Linked DNA regions of Coturnix japonica. The main gene of each other region encodes a partner of the protein of the gene in region 2 in a complex. Links are inferred from orthologs where the notes say so. Each region holds a gene or a part of one and is shown on either strand. Other genes may lie near its edges.

The links.
Region 1: the proteins of BMPR2 (region 2) and INHBB are in contact, whole or in part, in a crystal structure (PDB 7U5O), measured with the Homo sapiens proteins. The link is inferred for Coturnix japonica from reciprocal best matches to the Homo sapiens genes BMPR2 and INHBB. Residues at the interface, in NP_001195.2 of Homo sapiens: Tyr40, Tyr67, Leu69, Val80, Lys81, Trp85, Ser86, His87, Ile88, Gly89, Asp90, Gln92, Ile108, Gln109, Tyr113, Phe115; in NP_002184.2 of Homo sapiens: Phe309, Asn318, Asp319, Ile322, Ala323, Pro324, Gly326, Tyr327, Tyr328, Thr379, Met380, Ser381, Met382, Leu383, Phe385, Asp386, Asn390, Ile391, Val392, Lys393, Asp395, Ile400.

Annotation. Positions count from the first base shown.
Region 1 is NC_029522.1:21,362,802-21,366,704, forward strand, and holds the start of INHBB (inhibin beta B chain), read right to left. Parts: upstream 2,314-3,903; 5' UTR 2,088-2,313; intron 1,972-2,087; exon of another isoform or gene 1,737-1,971; 5' UTR 380-1,736; coding exon 1-379. UniProt on the Homo sapiens protein: Inhibins and activins inhibit and activate, respectively, the secretion of follitropin by the pituitary gland.
Region 2 is NC_029522.1:10,293,161-10,296,971, reverse strand, and holds the start of BMPR2 (bone morphogenetic protein receptor type-2), read right to left. Parts: upstream 3,041-3,811; 5' UTR 2,783-3,040; coding exon 2,710-2,782; intron 1-2,709. UniProt on the Homo sapiens protein: On ligand binding, forms a receptor complex consisting of two type II and two type I transmembrane serine/threonine kinases.

The DNA.
Region 1 (3,903 bases), about 11 Mb from region 2:
CGGAGACGGGGTCGTGGGCCGGAGGCCCGGCGCTCGCCTGCCCGTCCAGGCTGGGGATCTCGACGCGGCCGTCCTCCCGCACCTTGCCGGCGTGCAGCTTGCGCAGCGCCGTGACCATGGCCGCCTTGGGCACGGCGTGCGTGATGTTCGGCCGGTCCCGCATCTGCAGCCGGCTCAGGATGTGCCTCTTCACCGCCTCCAGGAAATCCCCGTCCACCTTGCCCGGCTCCTCGGGCCGCCGGAAGCCGCAGGAGGTGCATGTGTCCTGCGGGGAGCCCCCGGCGGGAGCCGGCGGGGTCGGGGTGGCGGCGGCTCCCAGCAGCAGCAGCCCGCAGGCCAGCAGCGCGGCCAGCACCCCCCGGCGAGCCGCCCCGTCCATGGCGGAGGAGCGGGGGGCCGAGCTGGGGCCGGCCCGGAGCGCCGCAGGGAGCCCGTCTGCAGGCAGCGCCGCTCCGAGCGCTCCGCGGCGCGGAGGGGGCGGCGGCAGCCAAGCCGGGGGCCGCAACCGCTCCGCGCGGGGAGGGAGGGAGGGGGGCCCGGGGAAGCGGCGTGTGCCGCCGGGGAGGCGGAGGGGGGGAGGCCGCCCGCGCAGGCAACCGAAGTTGGGGAGGGAGGGAGAGAAAAGGGGGGGAGGGGGGGGCGGCGGGGCTGAGCGCACCGAGCGCCCGGCTCCGCGGGGGAGGGGGACGGCAGCAGGTGAGGGGGTGGCCGCGCAGCCCGGGGAAGGAGGGAGGGGGAGCGGGGCCGGAGGTGCGAGGGGAGCCGGGGAGCTGGGGGAGGCGGCGCCGCGCTGCCCCGGGGCCCCGCGGCGCTTCAGAGGGGCATCCCCGGGCGCCGCCGCTCGTGGTCCATCGCTCGCTTCGGCAGGGTCCGGGCGGGCCGCGGAGAGAGCTCTTTAGTCCGGCGTCATTGAGGGGGGTCAGGGAGATAACCGAAGCAGATTTATATACAATCCAATTTATAGCCTGGAAGGAGGAGGGGGGGTGGGGGGGAGAGATGCCACTTGTACCCCCCCGCCCACTCCGCCCCCGCAAGACAACAATCCACAGGCCGTGGGTGCGGGTCTCTGTGCCGCTCCGCTCGCTCCGCTCGCTCCTTCCTTCAGCGCCCGCCGCTTCCCGACGCGCCGCCAAAGTTGACGCGGAGCACCGCCGGGGCGGGGGCCGCGGGCGGCGGGTGAGCGGCCGACGGCTCCACGGTGCCGAGGCGTCTCCCCGCGACGGCGGGATCGGGAGATCCGCTCGGAGGCTCCGGAGGATGCGGCGGCGGCGGCGGCGATCCCCGCTCGGTTCCGCAGCGCTGCGCGGGGACTCAGCGCGGTGCCGGCGGTCCCGGGAGTGCTGCGCGGATCCACTCGGTCAGCCCGGCGCTGCGGCTCGCTGCCTCGCTCGCTCTTTTTAAACAATATCTCCTTTGTTGGTGGTTTGGGTTTTTATTATTATTATTATTATTATTATAAGTATGATTTTTTGTTGTTGTTGTTGTTGTTGCCGCCGCCGCTGCTCCAGTTAATCTGTCTCTCCCTCTCTCCCTCCTTCTCTCTCTCTCTCTCCGCGTCTGTTTGATCTCCGCTCACCGTGCGCCGGCTCCAACGCCGCGTTTTGTTTTGGTTTGGTTGGGGCTTTTTTTTAACGCGTCTGATGTTCCCTCGCGGCTCCGCAGTGGAAGGGCTCGGGGAAGCGGCTCGCTCCTCGCTCATCGGCCGCGCGTCTCCTCCTGCTCATTTCCCCCCCACCCTGCAAAATCACGACATTGTGGCACTTTCTACTGAAACTTTTATACAGGAGTTAAAACCACGTGGGAACTCCAACCTATAACAGAGCCGCCGTGGGTTCCTCACTATTTGGGAGATTAAGTTAAGTCTTTTGCCCCCCCGGGCTATTACAGTAACTTCCTTATGCGGAGCTATTAACTGCGCTGTTCCTTTAACTCCCCCCGTCCCTCCCGGTTCCCGCACACACCCACCGCACCGCATCGCGCCGCACGGGTCGACCCCGGCCGGGAGCTGGGTGCTCCCCCACCCCCCTTCCCCGGGTTGTTCCTTTGCCTTTTAAGCACTTGAAAGGAGAAGGCATTAGAAAGTTTACCGTCGGGTTGCTTTTGCGACGGGGCGGGTGTGAGCGTGCGTTTGGCTCGGCGGGGCGGGGGCTCGCTTCGCCGCGGGGCAGCGCGGTGCGGGGAGGGGAAGGGGACATAACGGGACCCCGATCTCTGCGACCGGGTTTCCCTTTGCGGGTAAGCCTCGAGGGCGAGGTAAAGGCTCCGCTTCCCATCCGGCAGCCTCGCAGCCAAGCCCGAGGGCGGGCGGGCCCCCAGCGGCCGGGGTGAGCCGGCCAGGTGCACGCAGCCTCCGCCCCGCCGAGCTGCGGGCGCACCCCGGGGCCGCGCGGTCCCGCACCGCCGCGGGCATGGCCGGGCCGACGGCGCCCCCGCGGGGCCGCGCTGGGAAGCGGCGGGGAGGGGGGCAGCGGGGAGCTGGGGTGATGGGGGGCAGTGCGGAGCCATCGTCCCCGCCGTGGAGCCCAGCATTACAGAGGGCAGCAGCGCGTTTTCAAGGAGACGCCGCTGTTTTTAGAAGGAAAATAAAACTTGGGCCGTGTGTGTGTGTGTGTGTGTGTGCGCTGCGCGGGCTGCTGTCAGCTGTCACTAATAGAAGCCACCCGGGGCATAAAGAGGGTCAGTGAGGGATCAGCTAAAGACAGACGTGCTATCCCCGTACCACCGCCGAGCTTTTCTCTGTCTCTGTATAGACACAAGTGCACCATCGCGTCGCGGTCCCGCTCTGATCACAGCGATTAATGTCAGGGCAGTGTAACGCACCTTACACCGCGGTAAGGGGCTCAGAATTAGCGGCTGCGTTTCGTGCCTCCTGCTAACAGGTTGTGAATGGAAAGCCCGGAATGTAAAAAAAGAAATAATGCTAAAAATCCAATCACTCGGACATCCTGTAAGCTAATAAGAGCACGTGAAGGCGGCAGGCTTAGTGCTTCACAGTAATTAATTTGACAGCAAAGAGCTAACAAGAAAACAACAGCAGAGCAGCAGTGAGTGGTGCATAGAGGTCACTGTCACACCAAAGCTGAGGGTAAACATGGCCATTTTGGTCCATCCCTGCTGCCTGCTGCTTTGCCTTTTTTCCTCCTCTTTCAACAAACTATGGGCATTTTGCTTATTGAGACTTTGGGAAGATGCATCTTCTCCAGCAGCTGCCAACAAACGAATGCACTGATTAACCTTTCCTTATTGACAGTGCATCCAGGGCTTGCTCTGAGGCTCCCTCCCAGAGCAATGAAGGCATCAGGGTTGGTTCTGTGCTTCACTCGGAGATCACAGCTCAGTGATGGAGCCGTAGCGCTCTGTTCTTTTTCAGCCCTCCTCAGCTCTCAGTTCTCTCCCCTGGGCACAGACCTGTTGCTGGCACGCCGCAGCTGAAGGAGCAGCATGGAGGTGGTAGCTTTGCACCCCCCGCCTCCCCCCCATCCTCTGTTTGCTCTGAGCTCATCTGCGTGAGGCTCTGTGTTCACACACACCTCTCTAACCGGCTGCTCACCATCTGACTCAGGGTCATGCATCTCCATACATTAAATGGAGGGGAAACAAGGAAAGGAAGGGCCAGGATGTGTGCTGGGTGGGCAGCACCACTCAGCCAGGATGCTGCTGTTTGAGGTGCAGCACTGAGGGCGCTTCCTGCAGAGATGTCCAAATCTCCTGGCTGAAGTCTGATGCTCATTAAAGCTGCTGGTGTAATGACATGGGGATGCATGCCCTGTCTCATCCTGTGCAAAGCAGTGCGCTCCAATGCACCACACTGCTCCAGTTCTCCCCTTTGCTGTCTTCCCAGGGCAGACTGTGCAAATGCTGCTCTGGGGGCAGCTCTGCGACCCCCAGACCAGAAGGATGCTC
Region 2 (3,811 bases):
AATCCCTATGCAGTTCTTTTCACTCTGAAAATCTTGCAGCCCTGTTGATCCACACATACAGAAGCGCAAGACCCACAAAGATAAAAAGACATTCTGCTCGTTTTAATTCTTACTTCATGTTTTCCACAAGTCATTTACACATTAGACAAAGGAATGTTGTCTGCTGTGGATATGTAGAAAGAAGGAATCGTGGTTTAGTATTGTGTATCACATAAGGCAAGCAAATGAACCACATAAGGCAAGATTAATATCTACTTCATACGAACACCCAAATGAAATTCTTCAGCACTATTGTGGAACAGTTCAAAGGTTCACCAGCCACCTCTCAGGCACAATTAGTGCATCCAGATCCTCCTTAATATAAGGGTGCATAAATATGTCTCAGCTCTAAACAAGATTTAGAAAGAGACATTTCAAGTAACTTGATCAATGAAGAACAAAGTGGCACAAATCTTTTTTTTTTTTTCCTCCACATCCTTTAAAATGCCTCAATCCTTTACCTAAAACTGGTGGAGGTAAAATGCACTCCCCTGTCTAAGAGAATGGCAGCAGTGAAAAATACAACACCTAAATACAAAGCTACCAAGTACTTGTTAGGATGTGGATTTTACAGAGAAAGCCAGCAGCGTTTTTATCCTAATAAAGTCCAATGGGGAAAAAGAGGCAAAGAACCCCACCTGAATCTAATTCTTCATTATATACTCATCTAGCAGAGTGAAGGAAGGACTACCACACTAAGCTCAGGTCTTTACTGAGCTCCCCCAACAGAGATCTCCATATTCTCAAGGCAGAAAGCTACAAACCTATCACAAAAATACTTTCCTTCTGATGTCATGATTTTGCATTTATAAACACTCAGTTCCAAGTACTGCAGAGACACAGCACCCATGGACAGTCGGAAGCACCAATTAACAAAGGGTTTCCAGGCCAGAACCAGTACTATCACTGATGTGAGCATGCAGTTCATACTTTGGGGGGAGGGGAAGAGAAGAAATAATGTTGGCTCTTTCATGAACATAAAAGGGCAGAATTACACATTAGTGTAGCTTCCCCTGTATAGACTGTTTTTTTTTTTCCCTCTGAAATGCAGTGCCAACCTAAAATCAACCATTAGTTACTTTAAGTAAAGCTCAAATCATTTGTGTAATTACTCTTACAGAGGGTTAAGACCAAAGTTTGTATAATGTGGATTGTTCAAATTTCATAATTAAGGAATAAATCACAATGGGAAAATGGGTCCCTATTCACAAACAGCCAAACGAGCCTGCATCATTAATACTCTTGTAACGAGGCAAGACCAGAACTGAAATGTAAAAACACTGTTGCCAGGTCAGGACGGAGGTGAACTGGCAGAACCGTGCGGACGGGCTCACACAGCAACCTGCCCAGCCCTGGGCCTGCCTCACAGCTGTGCTCGCTCTTTCACCGCCCTTCTTCCTCACCATGGCAAAGCAACGAGCAACCTGCCCAAGCGTTCATCTCAAGGAGGAAAAAATCCTGTCCTCCTTTTAATCATTAGTGTTACATTGGAAAGGTTAGGTAGTGGGCACTCTTGATTCCTGCATGCTTTAAATACCAAGAGTTTTGACCTTCAGAAGTCCCTTCTTCCTGAAGAAAAATCACTCCCAGGTAACCAACACAGACACGACAGAGATCAATCTAAAACAGAACAGCCACAGGTAGGGATGATACTGGTAAGATCAGTTGTTTCATGCCAATATCCTCCTGAAAGAGATTTCTAAAGAAGAGGAAGCAAAGAAATCTGGGGCTGTCCAGTTAGAGCAATGAACCAACTGGCTACACACCATGATTTTCTTACAAGGAAGGATTCATTTGTGAACAACACACAGCCACTGAAACAACACCACAAGAACCCAGCCCTGCAAAATTGGATTCTGATTAGTAAATGACAGGAAAGTTGTAGGGGTCTCTCAGAACTGTTGGGAAATACAGTGATGGTTTGGTGGGCACTGATATTGGTGCCTACTGATGGCAGTCGCATTGAGGAGCTCCAACGTGCTCAGCTGTCACCAGGACAGAGCCAAAAGTGGGAGACCAATGCACCTCTCCTCCAAAATCGGGATCAAACATCTCAGGTATCAAACGTGAAGCTTCCAAGCAAAGTTAAAAGTAGGTCCAAGAGCCCCAAAATATGGCTAAAGACAGCCTTAGGATCTAAGCTTCCACGTCCTTGTTTAAAACGAGTTCTCTTCAAGACCTTCCAGCGTTCCTCATCAGCGCTTTGTGCTGCTGGCCTACAACACCGAGCGACAATAGGAGCAGCCCGTTTGCTTCAGATCAGCCCTGGGAAACAAACGTACCTTCCGATGGGTCTGTCACAGGGCTGCAGCACACGCTTCAGGCCCTAAGAGCGCGGATGCCGATAAAATTAAAAATGGCTGTGCCCAGAGATCCCACACTACAACCGGCACAGCTCTGCCGGCGATTAAAATATATATTAAAAACGCCCGCATTACCTTCCCGAGGGCGCGGCATGCAAAACGAAAAGATTATTTCAATTTGGGAAAAATACCCAAGCGAGAAGCCGAGAGAAGCGGAGCCGCACGACACACGCACCGTGACTGCGGATGGCTCATTTACACAATAAAGCACATTCATTCACGCCGCCGGCCGCCCCGACGCTCGGCCCTCAACCCGCACGGAGCCGCGGCCGGACCGCGCCCCGCCGTGCCCGGTACTTGGACTTACCGGCCGCAGCGCCGGAACGAGGGGCGGCGGCGAGCAGGAGCAGCAGCACGAGGTGCCGCAGCGAGGCCGTCATCCTGGGGTGCGGGGGTCGAGGCCGGGTGGGAAATAAAGACACCGACGAGAGGGATTTCCTCGCTTCTCCGGCGGCCGCGGCGCGCTCCGGGCTCACGCCGCGGTCTGCGAAGGCGGACGGCAGGTGAGGGGCGCCGGCTGTGCTGATAGTCCGTCGCGGCGGCCCGCCCGCATGGCTCCGCGGCTCCGGGGAGGACGCCGGCCGCTGCCGCCCCGCTCCGGGAAAGGCGTCGGGACCGCGGCCCGCCTCGGGAACGCGCTTATTTCCCACGCAGCTTCACGATATCGAAGAAGCAGCCGGGTTGGGAAGGAAACATATCCAGACGGGAGGCGGCGGCTGTCACTCACGGCGGCCCCTCGCGCCGCCCGGCTCCGAGGGCCGGGCTGGGGGCAGAGCCGGCCCCGCCGCCTTCACGCGCCCGCGGACGCTCCGCGGCGAGGCGAGCCCTGTCGCGCCGTCTGCGTGGGGGCTACGGCCGCCCCCCGGCCCATCCGCACGCCGCCAGCCGGCTCCGCGGCCCGGCCCTCGCGGCGACGCCACCCCCGGCCGCCCCGACGGAGGTGGGGCGCGGGGCGGCGGGAGCGAGGCCCCTCCTCGGCGGCCCCGGCGCCCGGCCGCGTTCCGCGGAGCTTCTCGCCCCGCGCTGTAGAACGCCGCTTCCTTCTCCTCTTCGTCCTCCTCAGCGCTCCGCGAGCCGCTCCGGCGCCAGCCCGGCCAACCTCTCTGAGCTCCGAGCGGGGCCGGGCGCAGCTGTGCCCGCGGGGCGGGGATCGGCTCGGTCCCTCCGCGCCGCCAGCGCCTTCCCCGTCTCCGGGCTGCGCCGGCAGTGGGCGGTCCCGCGGCTCCTCCTCCCCGTGCCCTCCGAGGGCCGCACAGTCCCACGATCCGCCGCCACTCGCGCCCCCTCCCGCCCGCCGCCACCACCACCAGCGGCCGCGCCTGGCTCCAGACACAAAGGGGACTCGCTCCAACCGCCCCCCCGCGCCCCGCCCCCGCCGCGCCCCTGACCATAGAGGCGGCCTCCGGGAA